7 linked regions of the Oryctolagus cuniculus genome follow. The protein of the gene in region 6 purifies or fractionates together with the protein of the main gene of each other region. This does not show direct contact. Links are inferred from orthologs where the notes say so. Each region holds a gene or a part of one and is shown on either strand. Other genes may lie near its edges. The genes, in order: BTRC, CAV1, UBXN10, RPL13, PSMA6, VCP and BAG6.

Region 1 (3,500 bases), on a different chromosome or scaffold from region 6:
GTGGCCGGCGCACCGTGCTGATCCGATGGCAGGAGCCAGGTACTTATCCTGGTCTCCCATGGGGTGCAGGGCCCAAGCACTTGGGCCATCCTCCACTGCACTCCCGGGCCACAGCAAAGAGCTGGCCTGGAAGAGGGGTAACCGGGACAGAATCCGGCACCCCGACTAGGACTAGAACCCGGTGTGCCGGCGCCGCAGGCGGAGGATTAGCCTAGTGAGCCGCAGCGCCGGCCCTTGCTGTATTTCTAAGGCTAGTGCAGGTACTTAAGCAAAATGGACTCTGAATGTCACCTAACTGTATACTTCGTTTCTTTATTATACACATTAAGAGTTTATTTTCTGGACCTAACTATATACTTAGTTTCTTTGTTATACATGTAAAGCATTTATTTTCTGTACCTAACTGTATACTTAGTTTCTTTGTTATACACCTTAAGAGTTTATTTTCTGGAAGGGTGTTGTGGTACAGACAGTTAAGCCACAGCTTGTGATACTGGCATTCCATATCAGAGTGCTAGGTGATCCAGCTGAAAAGCCCATGAGAGTATTTCAGGCATGGAAAGCCAAGAAACTCTGGCAAAAAAAAAAGACCTAAATGAAGGATCTCCGCGAGTGAGATCCCAGTGGAAAGACCTGACTATTATTCTTCTGATCCAGCTTTCTACTAATGTTCCTGAGAGGCAGCGGATGATGGCCCAAGAACCTGGGTTCTCTATGAGGGAGATCTAGATGGGAGTTCTGGGCTCCTGGCTTCAGCCTGGCCCAGCCCTAGCTGTTGCAGACATTCAGGAAGTGAACTTGAGGACAGAAGATCCCCTCCCCTCACTCTTGGTCACTCCGTCTCTCAAATAAATTTAAAAAAAGATTATTTATTTTAAAGTTCAAATTACAGAGAAAGATGGGGGGAGTGGGAGGCGGGGAGAGAGAGGTCTTCCATCCGCTGGTTCACTCCCCAGATGGCCACAATGGTAGGGCTGAGCCAAGCTGAAGCCAGGATCCCAGAACTCCCATCTGGATCTCCCTCTTGGTTGGCAAGAACCCAGGTTCTTGGGCCATCATCTGCTGTCTGCCAGGAGCATTCTCCGGTCTCCCACATGAGTGGCAGGGGCCCAACCACTTGGGCCATCTTCTGCTGCTTTTCCCAGGCCATTAGCAGGGAGCTGGATTGGAAATGGTGCAGCCAGGATACAAATCTGCACCCATATGAGATGACGGTGTCACAGATGGCAGCGTCACCCGCTATGCCACAATGCCACATCTTTTTTATACAATTATTACATAGACAAAGATCTCTTTGGTGTTTCATTCCCTTCATTGAGAGGAAAAATTTTTAAGTCTTTTTAATTGCTAGAATGATTGAAATCTCTGAAGCAGTTGGTATATACACACACACACACACACACACACACACACACATATATATATATCACGTGTTAATGAATTTCAAAGACAGAAAAAAAGGGGGATAGTTAGATTTTGGTGAAAATTCTAATCCAAAGCGCGTATTTTAAAAAGTATTCTCCATTCTTAACTGTTTTAGATCTCTTTATGATCCAGATAAACAACTTAAAAATTAAGTTGGAAGGGCAAAAATGAATATGCATATACCTATTATCAGTCTTTCTATCAGCTAAAACATTTATTATGTCACCTTTCTTAATGAATGACTCATGCTTGACTTCATATAGTACCATTCTAGAAACATACTTAGGAAGAAAATTATATAAAGAAAGAGGTTACCAGAAGTTCTAATGAATGGTTAAGAGAACAACAACAAAACTGGTGAAATCTCTTAGGCTCTAACTACATGAGGGTACTTCAAAGTTTACAGAAAACAGAATTAAAGTTAAGTGTATCTTGGTAAAAATTTTTTTTAGATCCATGCATATGAGTATAATAACCTTAGTGAATTCAAAATGAAGTAAGAAATCACGAGAAAACCCAAATCTTAAGAAGAAATAATGATTTATACTAATTTTTTTATTCTTTCTGACAGCTAGAGTTCTTATTTTAGTTGGACATAAAATATACTCTTTTGTTACAAAGGTAAAAAAAATGGAGGAATGGGCTAAAGGCAAGAAATCTGAAAAAACAAAATGCTCACTTGTCCTGGGTTTTTACAGAGGAAAGCTTGATCTGATGGCTTCCATGTGATTCAAACTCATTTGCTTGCCTTATAAATTACTTATCAGCCCTTCTGCAAGATACTAATTTCTGCCTAGAGAAACAGGATGGCTGGTCAGTGTTCTATTATTTTTTGCCAAGCAATATTAACACATTGTGATGTCATTTTATGAGTGACGGGTCAGAAGAAAAACCGCTGAGTGCATGAGCAACTATTTTCTATTTTTAGCTGCAAATCAGTAAAATCACTGTAGTAAGTGGTAAGTGATTGGTTCACTGTTCCCAACAACCTTCCAGTGGCAAGACGGCTGGGCCCTAACACTCTCTGATTGTTAAGCAAGTTAAAAGGCTCACCACCCTCTTCGTTCTGCCAGGCCTCTCCACAGAGAATCTGTCCTGACCATTCTCTCGATGAGTTTCTTCCATAACATGCCATCAGACGTCACTCGGTACCATTCCTTGCACACAAGTTCAGCAGCACATAACGATTTGGCATCCAGGTATGACAGAATGTTCTCAGCAATATGATCCAAACCCCGTGCTTTCAGTGGGGAGGGGAGAAGGCAAAGAGAAAGAATAAAGGGGATAGTGAATGATTTTTCACAAAAGGTCCTTTAAAACAGAATAGCATTTGTTCTATTATGAAGGCATATCATTGTCCCCAGCGTAGTCCAGTTGCTCTTTCAAACAGAGGCTTGGGTAAAATGAGTGTCAATAATTTTTCCATAAGGTTACAGAAATGAACAGTATTTTCCATCTTCCTTTAGATAAGGAAGTTAAAGCTAACAACCAGCAACCCCTCCAAGACATTAAAAATAAAAAGGATTCCAGAAAACAATTCACATCTATCTATATGGATTTCAGCACTAGGGGATGTTCTGTGGATGGCATCTCAAACTCTGATTCAGACCCCCCCAAATCTCTATATTAGGTCCATTTCTCATTCTGTTTCTATTACTGCTGCAATTCCAAAGCTATTCAGTAGAAGAAATATCCTTTAAATGTACTGGGGGAGAAACACTAAGGCAGAATGTGCTGGGTTATAGAATTTGGGGCATGCAGAAAGGAGGAGAAGAAGGAAATACAGAATGGTATAGGAATACCCCAAGAGGAAAGAAAGTGAGGTATGCTTCATTTCAGATGTTTCAAAAAAGAAAAAAAAAAAAAAAAAGCTGTGTGAGAATAGCTGCTGCTATAAAACCTAAATGACAGTTGACCAAAAGTGGAAAAAAAAATCCAGACCAATAGACAACTTGGTAAGCATCTCAGAGGATATTCTGCAGGATGTGCAGAGGAAAAGAGTAAAGAGTAGATCTTGGCTTGGGTAAACCTGACAGCCACTCAAATCTGCACTGGGGTCCCAGTGGAAAAGCTCC
Region 2 (3,998 bases), on a different chromosome or scaffold from region 6:
GGAAGCCAGGTGGGTGGGAACTGCTCACCTGCCTGGGGTCTTGCAGAACTGGGTCTTCACACACTCATTCTGGGAGCTGGGAGTCTCCTTGGCCTTCCCCAATCCTCAAGGAGAACCCCCTGCCAAGGATGGCTCAAGCCCATGATTTCCCAACCCAGATGGCTTCAGATAATAAATTCCTCCAACTAAATTTACCAAAAGGGTCAAAGTTGAATAACATAATAATAATTAAAAAAAAAACTGACAGAGTCAGACTTAAATGTATGCAATGATCCAGTTGGTCCATCTGCTTTTAATCTCACCAAGCACATCCTGAAAGTAGAACAAGGATATCCAACCTGGCGTAGGGAGACATTACAGAAGCAGCTTGCTACACCAACCAGAGGAGTGTAGAAGGGAAATCAAGAGGGGACACATTATTTTTGGCTTTGTAAATCTGCTCAGTTTCCTGGTTGTATCCTGCGTCCTCAGCATTTGCACTGATTTAATTATTTTAAGGAAAACCACTTCTGATGATTTTAGCCAGGGAAACATAACGGTTCTGTGTTCTGACTCACCCTGGCACAAGACCCACCTCAATTATCTGACTGCCTTAATTCCCTGTATAACGGGACCTGTCACTGGACCTTCAGCCTGAGAGTGGAACACAAGCCTCCCAAGGAGTGCCGGCTGGTCTCTTGCTGAGGAGGTTCATTTGCCAGGCTGCAAAGTACAAACTCCTACAGAACTCGCGTTAGCTAAAGTGCAGCTGAACCCACCAGCAGCAGGGGAGAAGGGCGAGGTGACATTTCTGGCCACAGCAGGAGCCCAGGCACATGGAGCCCCCGGGACACCGTGCGTGGCGTCGCAGTCCCTGGAGGGTGCCCAGCGCCTGGCCCGAGGGGTGCTGTGTGGCTGCGACGGCGACGGCGCCCCCTCCCGCGACGGCCCTGGCTCACCCGGCGCCTCAGCCTACCTTGACCACGTCGTCGTTGAGATGCTTGGGGTCGCGGTTGACCAGGTCGATTTCCTTGGTGTGCGCGTCGTACACTTGCTTCTCGTTCACCTCGTCGGCCATGGCCTTGTTGTTGGGCTTGTAGATGTTGCCCTGTTCCCGGATGGGAACAGTGTAGAGATGTCCCTGGGGAGGGTGACAACCGCAGTGGGAAGAATAATTCAAAAAGGAAAGCAAGCGGTCAGAAGAAGGCAGCCTAGCGACCAGGGGCACTTGGAGTTCGAAATCCAACTGACCTCGTCGACAGCGGCCGCTCAGCGCACAGAAAACTCCTGCGCGCCGCCAGCTTTTTAAGAGGATCGCGGAGACGACACCACACCCCTCGGTACCAGGCAGGGAGCGCCGGCCTCCCCCGCCCGCCGCCAGGGGTCAGGGCAAACCCCGCGGCGCGGCCAGCCCGGGCCCCCGCCCCGCGCACGCCTGGCCCGCGTCGCCCCGCGGGGACCACTGCGGGGAGGGGGCCGATCTAAGGCTGCGCTCCGGCCCCTATACCCAGAGGCCTGCACCTGCTCCGTTTCTCCGCCCCGGACCCCTGTCACCTCCCGGCCCCATAACCCCTTCCTGCTTAATCCTGAAGATACGGCGGGAACCTCCAGAGCCACGGAACGTCCCCGTTTTTTTGCTGCTGCTCCGCGTCCCTCTCGCACCTGCCCGCGTCCCCTGCACCCCTTTCCTTGGCGTTCGCTTGTCCCTCCTCGGATCCCCCCGACCTGCGTGGGGAGGTGGTTGTCACAAGCTCCCACGCCCCCCCCCCCCACCTCTGGTCCGCACCAAGTGCCAGATCCCCCTGGAAGTAGTTGTCACCTGCACCACCGCCCGGACCCACCACCCTCAGGTCGTTCCCAGGCTGCCGGCGGGTGGCGGAGCAACCGCTGCGTTTGGGAAAACCGGGTGTCCGCACCCAGCGCGGGTGGTGGTTGGGGTTAGGAGGAGGCCCACCCCTCGCGGAGCACCCCCGACAGGCGCCGAGAGGCGGCAAGGGTCCTTGAGACGGCCCAAGAACTTTGGAGAGAGCAAACACACGCGCGCCGCCGCGGGGCAGCTGCGCCAGGCTCCTGGCGGGGACTCGCGGGGACTGTCCCCAGGACTGCGGATAAAGGACGCCCGCCCCCACCCCAGCCTCCAGCGCTTCAGCTCCGTGGAGGGTCTCGCAACAAGGGCGCACGCATGTAGAATACGTGCCCCTAAGGGGCAAACCAAACTTGAGGATTGCGACCCTTGTCCCCCCCCCCCCCATCCCACCCTCTATCTCCCGGGCTCCTCTGGCCTCCTCCCCAGCAGGAACCTAGAAAACATTCCTGGCTTCTCTTCACCTCCCCGCCCAGGCCCATTCCTCCAAGGTGCCAACGCGACAGGAGTGCTCCCAAGTGGAGACGGGGCCGGGACAAGGAGGAAAGCAGCCGGAATATTTGTGGAGTGGGAGCGGGTAGGGGCAGGCACTCCCCGCGCGCCCCGGGCGGCGCGTCCCCACCATAGCCTACCTCGGAGTCTACGTATTTGCCCCCAGACATGCTGGCGCGTGGCTGCACGGAGCCTCTGAGGAGGTTTCCCCGGGCTGTGATTTAAGAGAACTGAGGAAGGAAGATCTTGTATTGTACCGGGGGAGGAAAAAAAAAAAAAAAGGCGCTGGCGGGGGGGCGGGCGGTGGCTGGGAGGGAGCCTCCTGGCCGCGCGCCAGGGGCTTGTTGGGCGCGCAGTTGGCCGGGACGTGCGCGGCGCCGGGTCCAGGCACATCCCCGAGGTTCAGGCAGCGGCGGGCGGGGAGTGCCAGGGGGAACCGAGGGCGAGCGCGCCAGCCTTGCCCCCGGGCTCCGCTGCTTGGGCAGAGACCTGCCACCTAGGGCCACGTTTGCCCAGCCCGATGCACCCGCCAGAGGCGTCCTGGGAAGAGCGCGTGTTTTTGCTGTGCATCACCCGGCAGGGGTGGAGCGAGCCCAGGAGCAGGCAGGGACAGATGCCCGGTATGGGCAACCCAGGCGTCAGAAAGATGTCTGCGCGGTCGCAAGTCCAGTTTGCCCCCACTGCTCACGTTCGACCACGGCCTCGGAAGCCCGGAGTCGCGGAAGAACGGATGAAAACCGGCTCCGGTTTAGGGACTTTTCACATTCAGACGCAAGGAGAGACTGCGCGGTGCCTGCCTGTGTGTGGCATACTTTTGGTGACATCTTGTCAGTGTGGATGGAAACTCGGAGAAGCAGGCGCGCAGAAGTGCACGTTTCCCACTCGCTCCTGAAAAGTCTCCCGGACGGTTTGAAATGAGAAACTGAGATGTTTAACTTTTACATAATCGTACTACCGATCTTTTCCGGAACAAAAGAAATTCACGCAAACAGGTCATACCTTATTTATATCGTACATTAAATATTTACAATTACTGAAAAAAATTGAGTTGAGCTTTAGGTTTATGACTGGAGAGTATATTTTTTAAATGTGCTTGGCTATGAGGGGAAAATTAATTTTGACTAATGGAACAGACTTAAAAAATGTGTTTGCAATCAAAGTATTTTTTTGGTTCCTGAATTTGGAGCTTCTTTCTTTATCGAATCATAAAGCAGCACAAGGTGGATTGAACAGTAATCATGTTACTACAGTAAATCATTTTATTACATACGTGGCTATGATAGGTCAGGAAATTCACAATCCAAAAATGGAAAAGACCCGAATGGAGTCTGAAGTCAAATTATTTGAAACTAACTGCAAGGCTGGGGGTACACCTGAAGGGGCACAGACTAAATTTAAAAACTGGCTGTTTAGAAAGGGGAATCGGGTAGGGGGAGAAGAGGAGAGGGCACTGGAGGATGGAGCTCTGAAAGAGGTGATCTTGTGCTTGGAGAGGAGATTCAAATAGAAGCTGGGAAGGGCAGGCTACTGTTGATAGCCAAAAAGCAACACCTTTTGAAAAACAAAGATATCTGTTTCAGCTAGGACAGGCCTGGAAATGTCACACAGTAATGGATGCTGGTATGCCTGAAATTGTGCTACCTCCATCCTTAAGAGATTCAGA
Region 3 (4,203 bases), on a different chromosome or scaffold from region 6:
CAGCGCTACCCCAAGCCCAGAGCCGCTTCCCTGCGTTGGACAGAACCACCACCACGGAACCCATCCCGGCTGTTCCAGCCCCAAAAGAACTTCCCGATTGCTCAGTCACTTGGCACATGCTCACGTCCAGCCTGTGCCTGCGCCTCTAGCCTTGGCTGAAACTGTATTAAAAATAATCTGACTCGTGGCGCCTTATCAGCACACAGCCTATCTTCCCAGGCCAACTGCAAACGCCTTGCAGGAAGACCAGCGGGATTGGGTGCCTACGGCAACCCTCTGTCTGGGGCAGACCAGAGAGCAAATATTTTGCCAACAAGGCCAGACAATAAAGGCCTAGTTTTTAATCTTCTAGTAACACAATTGCTAGATTAATTTGTCTGCATACTCCAGGAGTCCAGAACACAACCGGCACACAGCAGTCCTGTGAGGAGCCTGCTGGAAACGGTCTTAATTTCAGTTGAGAAGAAAGGCTTCATTCATTAGGCTGGGGTTGAAGAGGGGATGGGAATGAAGGGGAGGAGACTGGCGGGAGGGGGAGAGAACCTTCCAGGTGCTGATGTGAGGCTGTGGCACAGAGACGGCTCTGAGCACCAAGCAGGGGCGGTCAACCTTGCGCCCGCCCAGTGGGCAGCCCCTTCCCATGGCACAGGGAGGAGGGGGGACACCAGCAGGCAGCTTCGTAGGTTCCATGGCAAAGCTGGGCAAGTGGGTTTCTGTCTTCTCTCTGCACCGAGCACTGAGGTTCTTCTCCAAGACCGGGGACAGGAGGGAGACTTCAGGAAGGAGGTCAAGGTTTGACAGCTTTTGAGCCGAAAGGAGAGAGAACTAGATGGGGGTGTGGGTGTGGCGGGTATTGCCAGGCTTGCTGTGTAGGGCGGACAGTCCGGCTGGCCTGCAGATCACCCCCCCACCCTCGTCTACTGCACCAGCGTTAGTGACCAGTCAAGACTGGGACGCGAAGCTAGCAGGACAAGGGAAGGGGCAGGCTTGCCAAGAGGAGGGCTAAGGTGTGGACCACCAGACTCTCAACAGACCAGGCGGCTGGAAGTCCCAAAGATGGCTCAAGCGCATGAGTTGTAGTTTGGACACCAGGGGAGGTGTGGGTGCCACTGACCACAAGGTCCAGCATGTGGCCTCAGGGGAGGGGTGGGAGGCATGGGCTGAAAGGGGTACCCTAAATGCAGATGCTGCAGCCGGCAGGAATCAACCAGTCCCACAGCCTCATTTCAAAACTGGAGACCCTGAGATGGAATCCTACCCTACCCCTTGTCCAGAGCTGTCTTTTCCTCAAACCCACCCGCCCCAGGGGATGGAAATAGATGCAGGCCAAGGAGGACCAGGAGAGGTGCTGGCTGTGACAGGGAGCCTGCCTGTGGCCCTTGCAGATCCAGCTCCCCCAACCCGAGCCGGCCAAGGTTCCGGTCAGGCGCTCAGGCCGGAAGCACGTGCCCCCACCCACCTCGCAGCGGTTGCCCGGGAGACGGGACTGTTTACCAGCGGGACCCAGCGGGGCGCAGGCCAGCGGCGGATGGAGCGGTGAGGTGAGTGCGGGCCGCCTGCCCCTAGGGGTTCCTGGCCTGGAAGAGGAGAGGAGAGGCCAGTTCCGGAGTTCACAGGTGTCCCCAGGGGGCAGCCTCCCCAGACCCGGCCCCAGGAGTGTCCCGGGACACAGGACAGTGGCTGCGCCCCAAGGGCAAAGCAAGCTGGGCCGGAGCTCACCGTGGCCGAGATGGGATGCTGCCCGGGCGCTGCAGAAGCCGAGGGACCCCCGGGGCTGTTGGGCCATGCCCGCCTGGCGGGGCTGTCCAGATGGGGCCACAGACCCAGGGAGAGGAAGGGACGGCCCAGCTCCGGAAGCAGATGGCGCCGCCCCCAGACCTGCGCTCAGTCACCCAGGTCCCTGCCCACGTCCCCGAGTTTTCCTTGCCCCACCCCCAGCCATTCCTTCTGTTCCTGGAGCTTAGTCCCTTCTCTGGCTGCCGGTACTTGGGAAGATTTCTCTCGGCTGCCTCTTACCTTGGGACTGGCCCGTTCCCTCCCCAGCCCCTTGGTCACTTGTGGCTCAGCGCTGGGGCCAGCAGAGGCCAGCGTGGTTTCTTATTCGTCTGGGCTGGGTCCCAAAGTTTTCCCTGAGCTGGGTCAACACCACACCCTGTTGATTCCTCTGCGTGTTTTGGGGACGCGAGCGGGGCTGGTTGGCAGGGGGAAGGTATTAACAGATAAACATTTAAAAGACCAATTCGAATGTATGCATCTTGGTGTACCACAGCAGATGGCGTGTGGGTGGCTATATTTTTACTGCCTTTGCTGTAGGGTTCCTGTCGGGCTGCGAATGGAACAGGTTGATCTGACCCTGCTGTGGTGGCCGGGGGCAGCCTCGGGACGCTGACCCCTGGCTTCGGCTTCTGCCTTCGAGTTTGCTTTGTGGTTTTTGGTGATGGATCTTGAGGGTCGAGCACCTGCCCTTCGGGCAGCTTCCTGGATACAGTTCTCTGTGTTTGTTTGCTGCCTCCTAGCAAGCCCGTGGGGTGCAGCGATTGTGTCTGAGCAAACAGGCCACTTGCCTGTGCGGCGGGCGGTTGATGGATGTGCCGCCACCTACTCCGCCACCGCCACCAGGATCTTCTCGGATCGCTCTGTGTTTGAGCCTGTGCCAGGCCTGGAGGTGGTGAAGTGAGCGGAGTGGGGGTGGTGAGGGCGGCCGGCAGAGGTCGGGTGTGAGTATGAAGGCAGCGGTTGGCCTGGATCCCCAGGCACCTGTCCCCCCCCCACCTCCTTGGGGGGACAGTCGAGGTAACAGATGGTCCCTGGGGAGGAGGCAGGGGGTTGCGAAAGCAGGTTGGATGGAACTGTTTCACCTGAGGGACACATTGGTCTGTAAATAACAGTGAGTGGGTTCCTGGGAATTAGTCATAACTGAGCTTGCTCTCCGCGATGGCTCACAGCCATGTTCTCCTAGGACCAGGGTGGCTCGAACATGACTCCCCCTGAGCACGGATAATTATACAGGAGCGAGAGGTACAGGAGTGCATGCACACACTCAAGTGTTGCTGTTAAAAATAACCCGGCAGAGGGGCCTGTGCGAACGCATGGTGGAAGTTGTAAGGAAGAGGTTTCTAAGTTACCAAACTTACTGACAGTTAAGGCTTCCCGAGGCGGGTGTGGGTGTTGGGAGCCAAGCCTGTGATGGATCTGGAAAAGCTGTGGCAAATTAATGGCCACTGCAGGCTGCAGAAGGGGGGCTGCTTTACCAGAGAGCTGAGCCGAAGCCAACGGCTGCCTACAGTTACGGCTGCCTCCTGCCATCCGGGGCCAAAGTTGCAGAGCCACTTCACTGGATCCCCAGGGGAGGGAGCCGTCCCTCACAGCTGATGGGCAAAGGCATTGGGTTAACATGGAGCTGGGCAGGCTTGTTGGGTGCCAGAGCTTTGCTAAGGAGCAGGCTCCTCTACCACCAGCAGCCAGATTGGGTGTGAAAGACGAGGGAGAGGTGGGAAATGAGAGTAGGGAAGGAATCGGGTTGTGAGTAGACGCGAGTAAATGAGGGACCGAGGGGAGCTTTGTGCGTAGATTTGGAGCTGAGCAGGCGGGACACTGCGTGGTGATGGGTTTCGGTTTTGGTGGGGAGGATGAGGGTAGTCCCTAAAATTAGGCCACGGTGGTACCATGATGCCTAGTTCAGGGTTGTGTGATACCAGGATCTTGGCAGAGGGGGCTTGGAGGTAGAATAGAGAAGTGGGCCACTCGGAGATGGTTTCTCGCTGGGTGCAGAGGACGTAGGACTAAATGTACAAGTCCTGGGTTCTGTGTCCGGCTCTGCCACCTGCTAGCTGTGTGGTCCGCCGCCGGGCACCCTGCCCTCCTGGAGAGTCAGCCCGTGTCCAGATCCCTCCGCAGAGCTGGCTGGGACAGGGTTTGACAAATGCACAGCCCGTGGTCCAAATCTGGGCCCGGCACCTGGCTGTGTATGGCTCATGAGACAAGAATAGCTCTTACATTTTTAAATCCTTGGGGAGGGGGGAACAAAAGAACGATATTCTGTGACATAGGAAAATTACATGAAATTCAAATTTGGAGGCTATAAATGAAGTTTTAGGGAGACAGCCACACCCCGTTCTCTGTGCTGGGTACGGCTGCTGCGGCACCGCAGGGAGTGGGCAGGCCATGCGGCCTGCGCAGCCACACACAGCCAGGCTCCGGCTT
Region 4 (4,145 bases), on a different chromosome or scaffold from region 6:
AGAACCAGCTAGGCGAGGTGGACGTGCGGGTTAGGGCAGCTTTGCCTAAAGACAAGTCGGAGCTGGCGTGGGAGGTGTTGGAGGTGGGCAGGGTCTGTGCCCGGAGCATGGAGAGGGTCTGGGGATGACGCGGAGAGGGCCAGCATTCATGCGGCCAGCGTCTCCCGTGGGCGCGCGGGGTGAGTGGGTGCGCGGCCAGCGTCTCCCTTGAGTGTGAGGCGTGAGTGGGTGCCCGGCCAGTGTCTCCCGTGGGTGCGCGGGGTGAGTGGGTGCGCGGCCAGCGTCTCCCGTGAGTGTGAGGCGTGAGTGGGCGCCCGGCCAGCGTCTCCCGTGGGCGCGCGGGGTGAGTGGGTGCGCGGCCAGCGTCTCCCGTGAGTGTGAGGCGTGAGTGGGCGCCCGGCCAGTGTCTCCCGTGGGTGCGCGGCCAGCGTCTCCCGTGGGTGTGAGGGGTGAGTGGGCACCCGGCCAGCATTCATGCGGCCAGCGTCTCCCGCGGGTGTGAGGGGTGAGTGGACGCCCGGCCAGCGTCTCCCGCGGGTGTGAGGGGTGAGTGGGCGCCCGGCCAGTGTCTCCCGTGGGTGCGCGGGGTGAGTGGGCGCCCCGCCAGCATTCATGCGGCCAGCGTCTCCCGTGGGCGCGCGGGGTGAGTGGGTGTGTGGCCAGCGTCTCCCGTGGGTGTGAGGGGTGAGTGGGCGCCCGGCCAGCATTCATGCGGCCAGCGTCTCCCGCGGGTGTGAGGGGTGAGTGGGCGCCCGGCCAGCATTCATGCGGCCAGCGTCTCCCGTGGGTGCGCGCAAGCCGCGCGAAGGGCAGATGGCAGGTTTTCTCCTCACGGTGTCCGTGAAGGCCGCGGCAGGCCCTCGGCCACGCTGGCTCCCCCAGGCCACCTGGAAGCGGGCCGAGCACTCTGCCTCGACTGCGGCCCTGACGTGACTCCTGCAGCCGCTCCACCAAGACGCGCCCGGCACCCAGAACCGGGCGGCGGGTCCCGGCTCCTCCTCAGCCCAGCTCGCGCCGCGGCCATGTGGCGCGGGCCAGCGGACGGGCGGTCTCTCGGCCTCTCACTCACACGGAGGGGCCACCGCCTACCGCAGGGCCAGGTTCGAACTCCCGAGCGCCCTGCGCGCCCTTTCCCGGCGCTCCGCTCCACTCCACGCCGCGGGGCGGCGGCAAGAACGCGCCGGAGGCCGCCTGGCGCGCACCGGGGGCTGCGGCACTCGCGGGGTGAGGGCGACGCCCCCGGAAAGCGCTCCGCGGAGGGGAGAGGGGCGCGGCGGGGAGCGAGGCCCGGGGGCGTCCACGGCTTCGCGACCGCGCTGGCCGAACGCGCCCCGACCCAGCTCCCCTCCGCCTCGGACGCCGGGCCGTGGAGGCGGAACTCTCCGGGACGCGGCGGCGCCGGCCCTACGTCACTTCCGCATCGCCTGGCTCTGATTGGTCAGGACGCTGCGGCGCCTCTGATTGGCCGGGCCTACCACCATCCCAGGGGGCTTCGCGGCGCCGCGTCCTTTCCGCTTCTCTGTTCTCGCGCGGAGGAGGTGAGTGTCCTTTCCCCGTCGCCATCGAACGGCCTCCGGCTGTATCGGGCTCCATCCACCGCCATCGGCCTGGTGCCGCCGCCGCCGCGGCCATGGAGGCAGCTAGCGCCTCAGACGGCGTCCGGCCGGGCCCAGCGGCTGGGCGGGGAGGGCGCGTTCGGGCGGCCGGGGCCGGGGCGCGGGCGGTCGGGCGGCGGCCCGGCCCCGGCGCCTCACGCTCGGCCCTCGCCCCTCGCGGCAGCACGCAGCCATGGCGCCCAGCCGGAATGGCATGATCCTGAAGCCGCACTTCCACAAGGACTGGCAGCGGCGCGTGGCCACCTGGTTCAACCAGCCGGCGCGCAAGATCCGCAGGTGAGCGCCGGGCCGGGCCGGGTCGGGGTCGGGGTCGGGGGCCGGGGTCGGGGCCGGGCCGGGGCCGGGGCCGGGGTCGGGGCCGGGGCCGGGGCCGGGGCCGGGGTCGGGGCCGGGGCCGGGGCCGGGGCCGGGGTCGGGGCCGGGCCGGGGCCGGGGCCGGGGCCGGGGCCGGGGTCGGGGCCGGGGCCGGGGTGGGGGCCGGGGGCCGGGGCCGGGGCCGGGGCCGGGGTCGGGGCCGGGGTCGGGGTCGGGGCCGGGGCGCCGCCCGCGCGCCCGCCGTGACGCCGCCGCCGCCCTCCCTCGCAGGCGCAAGGCCCGGCAAGCGCGAGCCCGCCGCATCGCCCCGCGGCCCGCGGCGGGGCCCATCCGGCCCATCGTGCGCTGCCCGACCGTGCGGTACCACACGAAGGTGCGCGCCGGCCGCGGCTTCAGCCTGGAGGAGCTGCGGGTGAGTGGGGCGCGGGGCGCGGCGGGCGGGGCGGCCCGGGCTCGGGCGCGTGATGACAGTCTCCGGAATCGCTGCATCGCCTGATGAAAGCGCGTTCGAACCCTTTTACCTCTGAGCGCCGAGCCGGGCCCCGGGGGCCTGGCGGCGCGGGGCTCCGCGGGGCTCCATGCGTGCGTGTCTGGGGCAGGTGGCCGGCATCCACAAGAAGGTGGCGCGGACTATCGGCATCTCCGTGGACCCGCGGCGGCGGAACAAGTCCACCGAGTCCCTGCAGGCCAACGTGCAGCGGCTGAAGGAGTACCGCTCCAAGCTGGTCCTCTTCCCGCGGAAGCCCTCGGCCCCCAAGAAAGGCGACAGCTCGGTGAGTGGCGGGTCAGCGTGTGCGGGGCAGGGCAGCGGTCGCACTCCTCCATGCCTGCCCTCGGGCGATGCTTGCCCCTCGCGGAAGCCATGGACTAATGTGGGGGATGGAGGGGCTTGACGTAGCTTCTGGGGAACCGCTTGAACCTCTGCTGTGTTTCTGGAAAATCCTGTAGTGGGGGTTGGCCGTGTCCCTCTATGTGGCCTTCCTGGGGGTTGGACCGGGGGTGGGATTGCTGTCTCCATCCTGGGTTTGCTGGCAGGTGGCTCACGTGTAGGACAAGACAAGCTCCACTTGGGCCTGTCTTAGCAGCAGAGTTGAACAACCCACAACCATGCGGCAGCACAGGGTGCTGGGGTGTGTGATGGGGTCTTTTGCACAAGGCGGCTGACCGGGTTCTCGTCACACACAGGCTGAAGAACTGAAGTTGGCCACCCAGCTGACAGGACCAGTCATGCCCATCCGGAACGTGAGTAGAGGCGCACCATGCACACTGCGCTCCCAGGGCGGCAGGGAAGATCACCCCTGAGTCTGAACCCTGGGGACCCCTTCCTGAGCCTGGGGGGGGGAGTTCCCTGTGGAGATGCCTGGCCCCTCCTCGCCATGCTGAGTCAGTCAGGGTGAGGCTCTGAATCCCAGCAAGGACTCTGGTCTGATCCTCATCTGCCTCTGTCTCCATCAGTTTTGGCCCCTGCTGTCCACTTGGTGGGACTGGGTCTGACCTCATCTCCTTTTCCAGGTCTTCAAGAAGGAGAAAGCCAGAGTTATTACAGAGGAGGAGAAGAACTTCAAGGCCTTTGCCAGTCTCCGCATGGCCCGCGCCAATGCCCGCCTCTTCGGCATCCGGGCAAAAAGAGCCAAGGAAGCTGCGGAACAGGACGTTGAGAAGAAAAAATGAGGCCTCGCTGGGGACTTGCACAATAAATCCAGTCTGCCCGGTCTCCTGTGGTGTGTCTCCAGTAAGCAGTGGCCTGAGTGCGCCAGGTCCTGTCTGGGTGTGGGGTCGTGAAAGGCAGCCCAGACCAGTGGGCTGTGCCTTTGGCTGCCCTGTGAGACCACCGCAGTCTCCAGGATGGGTGGTCCCTCGAGCCTGCCTCAGTGTGATCTGCGCCTGTGAGCATGGAGCGTCCCTGCCCGGCCCCTAGGGGGAGCCTGAGGCTCAGCTCCTCGGCTCAGGTGCTTTGTGGCCCTGTGGCTCCTGCGTTGGTCCCCAGGAGGTGCTCACACACGCCCAGCCTCGCCCTGCCTGGACGTCAGCCTGCTGTCACAGTTGCTGTGGCCATGGCTCCTGCAGGGAGACAGCGTTGTTACCTGAACTCATCTAGAAATGATGATGCGTGTGATGCCCATCACCTGCCACTGTTACAGGTACCCAGGGTGCACCTGGTGGATTTGGGGCGCTGTGACCCGCTGCTGCGTGGGAGTCAGGGGTAATGCTTAG
Region 5 (4,073 bases), on a different chromosome or scaffold from region 6:
AGGAATGAACTGCGAGAAGATCCCAACTCAGCAAAAAGGGACAGAATGGAGGCAGGAGGAACAAGTAACCTAGGGGGAGGAAAAAGGGAGAGAAGATTGAGGATAGGAAAGTCATTGGAAAGGGCAAACACTGCTGAAGAGCCTAATAAAAGGTGGTGTTTCAGTTTCTGGTTAAGTCTGCTGTGAGTGAATGTGGGAAGGTTGTGACTCAGGACTTGGAATCATGAGTGTTGTTTTAGTATTAGTTTTTAAAATAATCTTAGAGCTCATGGAGGCCTTTAGTACTCACATAATGGTCTGAGGTACTGGCATCACGGGGGATGCCAGACCTGAATCGGAAGTGGCACCGGAGGGCCCAGCCTCGTGGCACAAAAGGTTAAGCCACTTCTTTTGATGCTGTCATCCCATATTGGCTGCTCTGCTTCTGATCCAGCTCCCTGCTAGTGTGCTTGGGGAGGCAGTGGAAGATGGCCCAAGGACCTGGGACTCTGACAACCCTGTGGGACTCCAGAATGCAGTTCCAGACACCTGGCTTCAGCCTGGCTTGACTTGGCTGTTGTGGGCCTTTGGGAAGTGAACCTGCAGATGGAATATGTCTCTTTCTCTGTCTCCCTGTCACTCTGCTTTTCAAATAAATAAATAAATAAATAAATCTTAAAAAAATAAAAAAGGAAGTAGCATTTGAAGTGAGATTCCCAGATAATTCTATGCCTATTAAATTTGGAGGAGTACTGAGACAGGCCATCTTCCTCATTTCACAGAAAAGGAAACGGAAGCCCCAGATTTGCTGTTTCTCAAGATCAGGTTGTAAAGACCAGGAGAGTGCCTTCAGGAAATGACTAGGAATTCAATGTCAGACGACAAAGAGGACCGTCAAATGGGAGTGAAATTTCAATAGTTACAGTTTCCTGACTAATAGCACAACTATGGTATATCAGAGTAGAAAAGTAGAATGGTCTATGCTTCTCAAAATTAGGTCTGGAATTGAAAAGGTAGACTTCACAGGAGGTTAAGGGAATACAAGAATTTGCTAACTGCTACAGGAGCTACCCTTTCATACGGACGCCTTGGGGAGTGGGTGAGGTAGGAAGGAAGGCAGGTAAAGCCAGATGGGGGTGAGCAATAGAGTCTGTGTCCCTCAGGAATGGATAGGCCAAAGCGCAGGCAAAGGAACTGGTGGCTGGGCTGAAGGAATGGGGCAAGTAAGAAGACTGGTCAAAATGAGGAACTTGCAAGTTTGAAATTCTGAAACCAGAATTTTTAAAGTAATATTTAAATAATCAAAATATCTAGTTTTCCCATCTCATAGGGACCAAAAAATCCTCAGTGTAAGGTTAGAAAATAGTTGAGACCAGGTAGGAGAAATAAGTTCATGGAAAATATGTATTATGAAAAAATTTCAGGGGCCTAGCACTGTGGTACAGTGGGTTAAGCCCTGCCTGAAATGCCAGCATCCCATATGGGCACCTATTCAAGTCCTGGCTTCTCCACTCCCAATCCAGCTCCCTGCTAATGCACCTGGGAAAGCAGTGGACGATGGCCCAAGTACTTGGGCCCCTGTACCAACATGGGAGACCCGGATCGAGTTCCAGTCTTCTGGCTTTAGCCTGGCCCAGCATGGCTGTTGTGGCCATTTGGGGAACGAAGCAGAGGATGGAAGATGGCTCTCTCTCTGACTCTCCTTCTAACTCTGCCTTTCAAATAAATAAATCTTAAAAAAAATAAAATAAAATAAAAAAAAAACTATGCATGGATTTCAAAATATTTTTGCACTAAAACAAACATCTTTTAATTCCATTTTTCCACAGATGTTTTAAGGTACTCTCAGATAGCCTACTGACATCTGAAAGGCACACAGTGTTCAATAGTGATTTCCTCAAATAAACTTTCTTTGGCGTGTCCATAAACAAAAGGAATCACATGACTTGCTTTAAAAAATAAAAAAAAAAAAACTCTTTATCTAGGTAAAGCAGCAATTAATTTTTCCTTACACTTTCTCTTCAAAAACATGGTCTGAGCAGAGTTTATTTCTTTAGGAGCAGAGATCAGAGGGCTGGACTTGGAAAAGACCCATTTCATCAAGGATTTGACCACGCCTGCCAGAACAGGACTAAGTGCCAAAGGACATGACCCTCAATTTGAGTCAATAGCTATTATCAGGGTGACAGCTTCCTGGAACACAAATTTCCTCCTGAATACAAGTAAGCCTTGAGTGGAAGGTTTTGAGTGTACGGCTATGTGAGGCAAGTAATATTTTCGGTAGGTATATAGTAATGCCCTAACTTAAGTGGGGGGGAAAAGTTGCTTCTTTTTGTGAATTTACATTTTTACAATTCCATAATAGAGCACATGAGGGAGTGGTAGAAGACTGTAAGTACAAGGAAAAGTTTTCATTTTCTGTCAGTTGTAAAAGAAGCGTGTTTCAAAAGAGTTCACGGGGAATGATCCTTTTTTTAAAAATTGGAATATACGTACAGGAAAGTGGGCATATATAGTGTAACAACCTGATAGCAATATACTCCTCAGCTATGCAGCAGAGAACAGAAGAAAACACAGCTGTGGATTTTAGGGCATGGTCACTGAAAAGAGGAACACAAGAACCATGTAGTTCAAAGAACTAGCAACACAGCACACCTCAGGTTCCCAGTCTGGCGGAGGGACTTACTTTTCTGAAGACTTGCCATAGCCCTCTCCAGCGGCACCTGTCTCATGGCACTGGCAACTCTAGCCCATCCTGTCAGGACACCGTTCTGCTCCAGCAGAGCCAAATGGACAGAACTGTCAGGGAATTCCATTGGCACCTCTCAGGACACTGACATTCCGTTCTGATGCAGTCACAGAAAGCACAAGAAACCTCCCTAAATAATGACCTTTATTTAGATGTGAACTGAACTCAAGACTTAATAATGTTCTAGTCTGGCTGAGACAGATGAGGCAATCTGATCTGGCCTCTTTTTAAAATGAATGTATTCCTCTAACATATTAGAAATTGAAGCCAAATATTTGCTTCTTGGGCTGGATTTTAAATAGCTCCAAGGAGATGAGTTGGGAACTAATTTTAATGTGGTTGAAACGAACTCTCTACATCCTCATTTTTGTCAGCAGCTACCAAAAAACCTTCACATTATTGCTATTTATAACAAATTATCATGGTTATCTTAACAACTCAATCTATTCGACAAGAGTATACTGCTGAGAGCCCTCTGGTAGCAAAACAAACTATCTTTAGCTGCCATTAGTGACTAGATAATTGTCTTCCTGCTTATTTCAATTCTCAGTTGAGAGCGAGTTGTGTCTGCAGTAGAGTCCCTGGAAGCATTCATTAGATCAAATACTGCCAACAAAGAGCAAACTTGGGTAGAGAGAACTTCAGGAAATCTTCAAACACCATAAAATGGAGATGACAAGAGAAAATGCATTTTTCAAGATTTATGACATTCACTCATCTGTGTTCTTGTCTCGTATTTTGTTTCATCCCATTCTTTCCTTTTCTTTCTAAGATTTATTTATTTATTTATTTGGAAAGCACAGTTAGAGAGAGAGAGAGAGAAAGGGAGCAACACACAGAGAGATTCCACTTACAGGTTTATTCCCCAAATGGCTGCAATGGCCAGTGCTGGGCCAGGTTGAAGCCAGGAGCCAGGATCTTCTTCAGCATCTCCCACATGGATCCAGGGACCCAAGCACGTGAGCCATCCTCTACAGCCTTCCCAGATCATCAGCAGGGAGCTGGATCGGAAGTAGAGCAGCTGGGACTCAAACTGGTGCCCATATGGGATGCCAACATTGCAGGTGGTGACTTTGCTATGCCACAGCACCAGCCGTCTTGCTATTTTCTATGGCTTCCTCTTAAGAAGACCCCTGAAAGGAATTCCCTGCGCTTATGTAATCAGACAAGCAGAGCGCTGGGCACTCGCTGGGATGGGGCCGGGAGAAGCGGCTCTTCTCTCCTTTCTGCCCTTTCCAAGTGCTTTGGACTACCCTTTTTATTCACGTTCTCCTCCTGCCTCCCATGGGGCTGCTGGGCTTCAGGGCTATATAGCAGCCCCATTTCTCTCTGCCCCTCATACTTC
Region 6 (3,500 bases):
TGGTCACTCTAGACAGGATACAGGATACAAGGACCCTTGTGCCCTACCACTGCAAAAAAACTTCAAGGAATCCTCATAATCAAATCAGGTGACTCAGATGAAGGATAGAGATTAAACTCAATAGATCTATAATCTCTCTATGAGCAAGGAAAGGGTGAAGGAAGCTGGAGTCCTTACCAAACCGTCGCAGTGCCGGGTCAATGCTGTTGGGTCTGTTGGTTGCTGCCATAACTATCACGTGTGCCCTCTGCTTTAGTCCATCCATAAGGGTCAACAATTGTGATACAATACGCCGCTCCACCTCCCCGTGAGTCTGGCAGGACAAATGTCTGGTCAGAAGCAATGTTAGGACCTTTCAACCTCCCACCATTCCCTCGGGTAAACTCCTACTTTCTCTCTTTTGGGAGCAATGGCATCCAGTTCATCAATGAAGATGATGGCAGGAGCATTCTTCTCCGCTTCCTCAAAGGCTTTACGAAGATTGCTCTCAGACTCACCAGCCAACTTGCTCATGATCTCAGGACCTGAAAGAAAACAAAATGAAGACAATGATAAAATTACAACCTTTCCCAGTCCCAAAATAAATCAGTTACCTTATCTGCCCTAGGATAGGTCCTGGATGAGAAGATACTAACTTCCGTCTACCTTCTCACCAATGCCAGCTATCACCCAGGACAGCCACAAAGCTGGGGTAGAGAAACCAAGCACATTTTTTTCAAAGTGTAAAGGTCTCTGGCAAGAGCAGGAGACATCACACAAGCTGGATCTCTACAGCTTAACATTCTCTAAGAGACAGGTGGTGTTGGCCCATCTTCCCTAAGCCTCTCAAATAGGCATCATACCTTTATTTTATTTTTTTTTTTAATTCCAACTTGCTCCCCCTTAAATATCTTGGGGCTGGCATTGTGGAGTAGCAGGTAAAGCTATCACCATGCCACACAAGCATCCCATATGGGAACCAGTTCACGTCTCAGCAGCTCTACTGCCAATCTAGCTCCCTGCTAAAGGCCTAGAAAAGCAGTGGAAGATGGCCTAAATGCCACCCACATAGGAGACCCAGATGAAGTTCCTGACTCCTGGCTTCAGCCTGGCTCAGACTGGGCCCTTGTGGTCATTTGGGGAGTAAACCAGCGGATGGAAGATCTCTGTCTCTCCCTCTCTCTGTAACTCTTTTAAATACATAAATATTCCTTACAAAAATGTACACAACTTTTTCTAGGTTGAGGGGAAAAGACAAAAAGTATCAGTATAAAATATCTCCCACTTGGCCGGCGCCACGGCTCACTAGGCTAATCCTCCGCCTGCGGCGCTGGCACACCGGGTTCTAGTCCCAGTCGGGGCGCCGGATTCTGTCCCGGTTGCCCCTCTTCCAGGCCAGCTCTCTGCTGTGGCCAGGGAGTGCAGTGGAGGATGGCCCAAGTGCTTGGGCCCTGCACCCCATGGGAGACCAGAAGCACCTGGCTCCTGCCATCGGATCAGTGCAGTGCGCCAGCCACAGCGTGCCGGCCGCGGCGGCCATTGGAGGGTGAACCAGCGGCAAAAGGAAGACCTTTCTCTCTGTCTCTCTCTCTCACTGTCCACTCTGCCTGTCAAAAAAAAAAAAAAAAAAAAAATCTCCCACTTGTTGCTGACCTGTCTATAATGTACCCCAGCAAAAGATGCTAAAGTGTGCATGAGAGCATGGCTGCAAATGGATGTTATCAATGAGCTGTTCAGGCCAGGGCTAGTTCTAGACAGACACAAGACAAATCAAATCTCTTACCATTGATCAGGAAGAAGAAGGCCCCAGTTTCATTTGCCACAGCTCGGGCAATCAGGGTCTTCCCTGTTCCAGGAGGTCCATAGAGCAGGATTCCCCGAGGAGGCTGGGGACCAACATAAGAGCAATTAGAATTAGACTCCTGACTTCTCAACGCCACTCACCTCAAACTGGCTTGACTAGGACTCTAGAAAGGGTGAGAATTAGAATTCAATTCTGGGAGCCGGCACTGTGGCGCAGCAGGTTAACGCCCTGGCCTGCAGTGCCAGCATCCCATATGGGTGCCGGTTCAAGTCCCAGCTGATCCACTTCTGATCCAGCTCTCTGCTGTGGCCTGGGATAGCAGTGGAAAACGGCCCAAGTCGTTGGGCCCCTGCACCTGCATGGGAGACCCGGAGGAAGCTCCTGGCTTCCGATTGGCACAGCTCTGGCCGTTGCAGCTAATTGGGGAGTGAACCATCGGATGGAAGACCTCTCTCTCTCTGTGTAATTCTGACTTTCAAATAAATAAATAAATCTTAAAAAAAAAAAAAAAAGAATTCAATTCTGACACCATTAAGAATGAGCCTTTCATAGAAAGGTAAGACATTGTGGCAAAAAACGTTCTACATGAAGGATCTCTGTTACTGAGACCCCAGCAGAAAGAAGTGGCCATCAAAGAAGGATGTACTCTACTCTAAAGGGAGAACTTTCACTTTGCTTGTGGCCTTGTCCAAATATTGACAAAGTTTGTGAACTCAAAAGGCTTCCATAGCCTAGGTAGCTCATGTCAAGAGCCTCGGGTAGTCAATGACATCATACATAAGCACTGTTAATAGTTAAATCAACAACAAGAGTCACTGTGCACTAACTTCCCATGCAGGACCTCTGTCCTCAGTGAGTTGTATATCAGAGTTAACTGTAAAACTAGTTCTCAGTTTGTATGTGTGTGTGCAAATTGTTGAAATATTCTGTGTACAAAGTTAATTGAAAATCAATCTTAACGGAGAATGGGACTGGCAAGGGGAGAGCGAGGAGGAGGAGGAGGAGGAGGAGGAGGGGTGGGAAGGTGGGTATGGTGGATGGTGGGAAGAATAACTATATCCCTAAAGTTGTACAGTTGTACTTATGAAATTTGTACAAAAAAAAAAAAAAAAAAAAAAAAAAAAAAAAAAAGCCTTGGGGGCTGGCGCTATGGTGCAGTGGGTTAAGCCATTGTCTGCATATGGGTACTGGTTCAAGTCCCAGCTGCTCTACTTCTGATCCAGCTCCCTACTGACACACCTGGGAAGGCAACAGAAGATCGCCCAAGCAGTTTGGACCCTTGCACCCATGTGGGAGACCTGGATAAAGCTCCTAGATCTGGCTTCATCCTTGCCCAGCCCTGCCCACTGCAGCCATTTAGGGAGTGAACCAGCGGATGAAGATCTCTCTCTGCAATTCTGACTTTCAAATACATAAATAATAAACTTCAAAAAAAAAAAAAAGAACAATAAGCCTTTGGTACAGCAATTAAGACACCCCTTGGGATGCCTATATCCCATTTCAAAGTGCATGGGCTGGAATCCCAGCTCCACTTCCAGCAACCTGCTAATGTGCACCCTTGGAGGCAGCAGTACTTGGAGGCTCAACTACTTGGGTGGCTGACACTCTCGTGGGAGACCTAGATTGAGTTCTAGGTTTCTGGCTTTAGCCTGGCCCAACCTTAGATGATGCATTTGGGGAGTTAATCAGAAATGTAAAATCTTTCTGCCTTTCAAAT
Region 7 (3,500 bases), on a different chromosome or scaffold from region 6:
GGATGTTCACATCAACATGGAACAGGCCCCAATTCAGGTATTGAGGGGCCTGGGAGGGTCAGAGAAGGGGATCTGGGAGAAGGAGGCCATGAAGTGGGGGAGGACCTGGCTGAGGAGATGACTGGGACCTGGTGTAGTAGGCAGTGGAGCTCATGGCTTCACCTCGGACCTGTCCTGATGATTCCTCTTTTATCGTAGAGTGAGCCCCGGGTACGGCTGGTGATGGCCCAGCACATGATCCGGGATATACAGACCTTACTGTCCCGGATGGAGGTAAGTGGGCAAGTCTGGCTAGAGTCTCTTCAGGGGCATAACTGGCCACAACCACAGGACTCTGCCTTCCTAATCTGGTCGCCTCTCTCTGCAATCTTTGTTCTTTGGGGTAGAAAAAGTATCTTTTTGAGACCGCTTTGACCCTGCCAGATCATTTGGTGGCTGGTATTGGGGACTTTGTTTCAGTCTTGTCAGGTAACTCTCACAGCATATCTTTTGAATTGAAGAAGGATCCCACACTTCTTAATTTTTTCCTTGATGTTCTAAGTTTGTCAGTTTGTGTTACGGTTGCAGCCTGTGGCCTTTCTCTCTCTCGTTGCAGAGATTAGGAAACTGCAGCCTCTGCTCTCTGTGATTCACTCACCAAGCCTACAGATGCTTGTGTGCAGCCTGATTGTCCCAGTGCTGCCCTGGCTGTTAGAGGCAGACCAGAGCCCTGCCTTCAGGGCGCCTCGTCAGGGTATTCTCCCCATTCAGACTCCTTTGGCCTGAGTGGTTGTCTACAGTAGTCTCATCCTGCTTTTGGTATTCTGACTCGCCCCACCTTCAGTGTCGAGGAGGGCCCCAAGCACAGCACAGTCAGCCGCCCCCACAAACGCCGCCTGTGGCCCAGGAGCCGGGAACCTTGAGCTCTCAGACAGCAGAAGCGGTTGAAAATGACTCGCCAGCTCGGGAGCCCATGGAGGCAGAAGAAGTGGAGGAGCGCACCCCAGTCCAGAACCCAGAACTCACCCCGCCTGGCCCAGCCCCAACGGGCCCAGCACCTGCCACGGAGACAAACACACCCAAGTGAGAGGAGGAGGGAACTCTAGGGGTTTGGGAGATCCCGAATGAAGTGTGAGGACCAGGAAAGGTACAGTGGCAAGGGAAGCATTGCTTGGGCCTTACCTGTAGGGTTAGCATTGAGTGTAGGTAAGTGAAGTTAGGATTGATAGCTGAGCAAAAAGTACTGCTCTCTCCTGGGCAAGGGAATCCAGGTGGTAAGTCCTGAGCCTGATAAAATTTTCTGCCCTGAGTTCACACGGATCCCATCTCTCTCGTAGAGTCAGTTTCTTGTGCTGGGGAGGGCGGGAGCAATTCCGTGTCTTCCCCCAGTCCTCCCATGGGTAGGAGTAAAGAACAGACTGTGCTGGTCTGTGAAGGGATCAGGCCCAGGGCAGACGGGCGGCTGCGATCCCTGGTGCCTGGGAGGTCAGGAGTTGCAGAAAGCCTCGGCTCACTGCCCTTGGGTTGCCCGCAGCCACCCTTCCCCCGCGGAGTATGTCGAGGTGCTGCAGGAGCTGCAGCGGCTGGAGAGCCGCCTCCAGCCTTTCCTGCAGCGCTACTACGAGGTCCTGGGCTCCGCCGGCAGCACGGACTACAACAACAACGTGAGTCCCTCCATGGCCCCAACCCCCCGGAAGCAGAACAGGGCAGACTGAGATACAGATAACACTCTCCCCTCGCACTAAAAACAAAACACCCAAAAAACTAGAAACAACCCAAAAACAAGAAAAAAACCCAAATTCTCTTTAGACGTGTAAATGGTCCTTTCCTTCCTTCGGGGGAAGGTGACTTTTTGCGGTATCTACTGCTCTCTCTTTCTTGCACTTCTGAGTTAATGATTTAGGAAGTTTATAAAGTAAGGAGATTCATGGGTGATGCCCTGTTGGTTCATTGTAGAGTTTATTTTAGCAGGGAGTTCTTTATGGGTGTGTAGTAGCATTTGTTTCCAAGGATACAAGCAAAGGTTTAGAGGGCATGATAACTTTGAGAAGGCACAGCTTACTGCTTTAGTTAATGAGGAGGATTCCAGCTTGATACTTTCTGCTTTTCTGTGTTTGACCCCGGAGCACAGCATGAGGGCCGAGAAGAGGACCAGCGGTTGATTAACTTGGTGGGGGAGAGTCTGCGACTGTTGGGCAACACCTTTGTGGCTCTGTCTGATCTGCGTTGCAATCTGGCCTGTGCACCCCCACGCCACCTGCATGTGGTCCGACCCATGTCTCACTACACTACCCCCATGGTGCTCCAGCAGGCAGCCATTCCCATCCAGGTGCGTCACGAAGAGCGGGTCGGAGAGAATGGAGGGTGTAGGTGGAGTGATTAGGAAGGGAGGAGACTTTGGAAACGTAGTGATGAAGATGAGGAAGACTTCAGGGGTATCTCATAAGGTGATCTGTTCTAGGTGTTTGTGTGTTTCTTATTCCCGCCTGTCCCCCTGTTTCTTCCAGATTAATGTGGGGACTACTGTGACCATGACGGGGAATGGGACTCGTCCCCCCCCAGCTCCTAATGCAGAGGCACCTTCCTCTGGTCCCGGGCAGGCCTCGTCCCTGGCTCCGTCTTCTACCACTGTCGAGTCGTCCACGGAGGGGGCTTCCACTCCAGGGCCAGCTCCCCAGCCAGCCACCAGTCACCCGAGGGTCATCCGAATTTCCCACCAGAGCGTGGAACCCGTAGTCATGATGCACATGAACATTCAAGGTGAGTTAGAGTCGGTCGCTGGCAGAGAAGAGCAGCATGGTGAAGGAGGTAGGCTTGGCGCTGAGGTATGAGGTGCGAGGCTGGGGAAGGGAGAGGCTGCTGCTGGCAGCGCTGGCAGAGGAGCCAGAGCAGCAGCTTTAAGCGTCGTGTGTGGGGCGGGGCAGGATGGGTGCTGTGTCCTTGGTGATTTGTTGGTGTGGTGAAGGGAGCACCTGCTCCCTGTCTTGATGGAGAGAAAGGCAGGTGTTCCGGCTGGGGAAGTGGGAGCCTGCAGGACAGCTGATCTCAGGAGGATGCCGTTAGGGCTTGGCCCCGCCTGTCTCAGGGCCACTCTCTCTGTCTCCCTGCCCAGATTCTGGCACACAGACCGGTGGTGTTCCGAGTGCTCCCACTGGCCCCCTAGGACCCCCTGGTCATGGCCAGACCCTGGGTAAGAGTGAGGGCATCAGAGCAGGTTGAGCTCTGGGTAGAGAAGGGGTAGGGCTGAATGGGTGGGTTAAAGGGGTCCAGGTTCAAGGTTACATCAGACCCGCCCCCCAGGCTCCACCCTCATCCAGCTGCCCTCCCTGCCCCCTGAGTTCATGCACGCCGTCGCCCACCAGATCACTCATCAGGCCATGGTGGCAGCTGTTGCCTCCGCGGCAGCAGGTAATGACCTGGAAGGGGAGGCCTGGGAGGTGGGGCATAGTCCATGGTGGCGGGTGCTGTCAGCTAGTGGCCAAGGGCCCAGCCCTCAGCTCTCTCCGGTCTCTCTCTTCTGC

What was found.
Region 1: the proteins of VCP (region 6) and BTRC purify together in Homo sapiens (affinity purification with western blotting; 4 studies listed by BioGRID). This does not show direct contact. The link is inferred for Oryctolagus cuniculus from reciprocal best matches to the Homo sapiens genes VCP and BTRC.
Region 2: the proteins of VCP (region 6) and CAV1 purify together in Homo sapiens (affinity purification with mass spectrometry; 5 studies listed by BioGRID and IntAct, with this or other methods). This does not show direct contact. The link is inferred for Oryctolagus cuniculus from reciprocal best matches to the Homo sapiens genes VCP and CAV1.
Region 3: the proteins of VCP (region 6) and UBXN10 purify together in Homo sapiens (affinity purification with western blotting; 3 studies listed by BioGRID and IntAct, with this or other methods). This does not show direct contact. The link is inferred for Oryctolagus cuniculus from reciprocal best matches to the Homo sapiens genes VCP and UBXN10.
Region 4: the proteins of VCP (region 6) and RPL13 purify together in Homo sapiens (affinity purification with mass spectrometry, with the first as the bait; 3 studies listed by BioGRID). This does not show direct contact. The link is inferred for Oryctolagus cuniculus from reciprocal best matches to the Homo sapiens genes VCP and RPL13.
Region 5: the proteins of VCP (region 6) and PSMA6 fractionate together in Homo sapiens (co-fractionation; 3 studies listed by BioGRID, with this or other methods). This does not show direct contact. The link is inferred for Oryctolagus cuniculus from reciprocal best matches to the Homo sapiens genes VCP and PSMA6.
Region 7: the proteins of VCP (region 6) and BAG6 purify together in Homo sapiens (affinity purification with western blotting; 4 studies listed by BioGRID, with this or other methods). This does not show direct contact. The link is inferred for Oryctolagus cuniculus from reciprocal best matches to the Homo sapiens genes VCP and BAG6.

The regions. Positions count from the first base shown.
Region 1 is NC_091446.1:28,392,199-28,395,698, forward strand, and holds part of BTRC (F-box/WD repeat-containing protein 1A), read right to left. Parts: intron 2,666-3,500; coding exon 2,479-2,665; intron 1-2,478. UniProt on the Homo sapiens protein: Substrate recognition component of a SCF (SKP1-CUL1-F-box protein) E3 ubiquitin-protein ligase complex which mediates the ubiquitination and subsequent proteasomal degradation of target proteins. Recognizes and binds to phosphorylated target proteins.
Region 2 is NC_091434.1:151,971,465-151,975,462, reverse strand, and holds the start of CAV1 (caveolin-1), read right to left. Parts: upstream 2,801-3,998; 5' UTR 2,506-2,800; coding exon 2,476-2,505; intron 2,063-2,475; exon of another isoform or gene 1,799-2,062; intron 1,378-1,798; exon of another isoform or gene 1,231-1,377; intron 1,121-1,230; coding exon 956-1,120; intron 1-955. UniProt on the Homo sapiens protein: May act as a scaffolding protein within caveolar membranes. Forms a stable heterooligomeric complex with CAV2 that targets to lipid rafts and drives caveolae formation. Mediates the recruitment of CAVIN proteins (CAVIN1/2/3/4) to the caveolae.
Region 3 is NC_091438.1:150,508,855-150,513,057, reverse strand, and holds the start of UBXN10 (UBX domain-containing protein 10), read left to right. Parts: upstream 1-1,403; 5' UTR 1,404-1,541; intron 1,542-1,719; coding exon of another isoform or gene 1,720-1,786; exon of another isoform or gene 1,787-1,877; intron 1,878-4,203. Other genes in the region: PLA2G2C (putative inactive group IIC secretory phospholipase A2), read right to left, coding at 1,720-1,786. UniProt on the Homo sapiens protein: VCP/p97-binding protein required for ciliogenesis. Acts as a tethering factor that facilitates recruitment of VCP/p97 to the intraflagellar transport complex B (IFT-B) in cilia.
Region 4 is NC_091449.1:69,233,504-69,237,648, forward strand, and holds RPL13 (large ribosomal subunit protein eL13), read left to right. Parts: upstream 1-1,404; 5' UTR 1,405-1,538; intron 1,539-1,779; 5' UTR 1,780-1,788; coding exon 1,789-1,892; intron 1,893-2,201; coding exon 2,202-2,343; intron 2,344-2,393; exon of another isoform or gene 2,394-2,474; intron 2,475-2,530; coding exon 2,531-2,704; intron 2,705-3,116; coding exon 3,117-3,173; intron 3,174-3,443; coding exon 3,444-3,602; 3' UTR 3,603-3,645; downstream 3,646-4,145. UniProt on the Homo sapiens protein: Component of the ribosome, a large ribonucleoprotein complex responsible for the synthesis of proteins in the cell.
Region 5 is NC_091443.1:40,254,564-40,258,636, forward strand, and holds the start of PSMA6 (proteasome subunit alpha type-6), read right to left. Parts: upstream 2,801-4,073; 5' UTR 2,796-2,800; coding exon 2,666-2,795; intron 1-2,665. UniProt on the Homo sapiens protein: Component of the 20S core proteasome complex involved in the proteolytic degradation of most intracellular proteins. This complex plays numerous essential roles within the cell by associating with different regulatory particles.
Region 6 is NC_091432.1:198,025,251-198,028,750, forward strand, and holds part of VCP (transitional endoplasmic reticulum ATPase), read right to left. Parts: intron 1,866-3,500; coding exon 1,763-1,865; intron 525-1,762; coding exon 391-524; intron 314-390; coding exon 178-313; intron 1-177. UniProt on the Homo sapiens protein: Necessary for the fragmentation of Golgi stacks during mitosis and for their reassembly after mitosis. Involved in the formation of the transitional endoplasmic reticulum (tER).
Region 7 is NC_091436.1:138,966,708-138,970,207, forward strand, and holds part of BAG6 (large proline-rich protein BAG6), read left to right. Parts: coding exon 1-37; intron 38-198; coding exon 199-273; intron 274-823; coding exon 824-1,062; intron 1,063-1,513; coding exon 1,514-1,643; intron 1,644-2,110; coding exon 2,111-2,308; intron 2,309-2,486; coding exon 2,487-2,739; intron 2,740-3,091; coding exon 3,092-3,169; intron 3,170-3,279; coding exon 3,280-3,387; intron 3,388-3,500. UniProt on the Homo sapiens protein: ATP-independent molecular chaperone preventing the aggregation of misfolded and hydrophobic patches-containing proteins.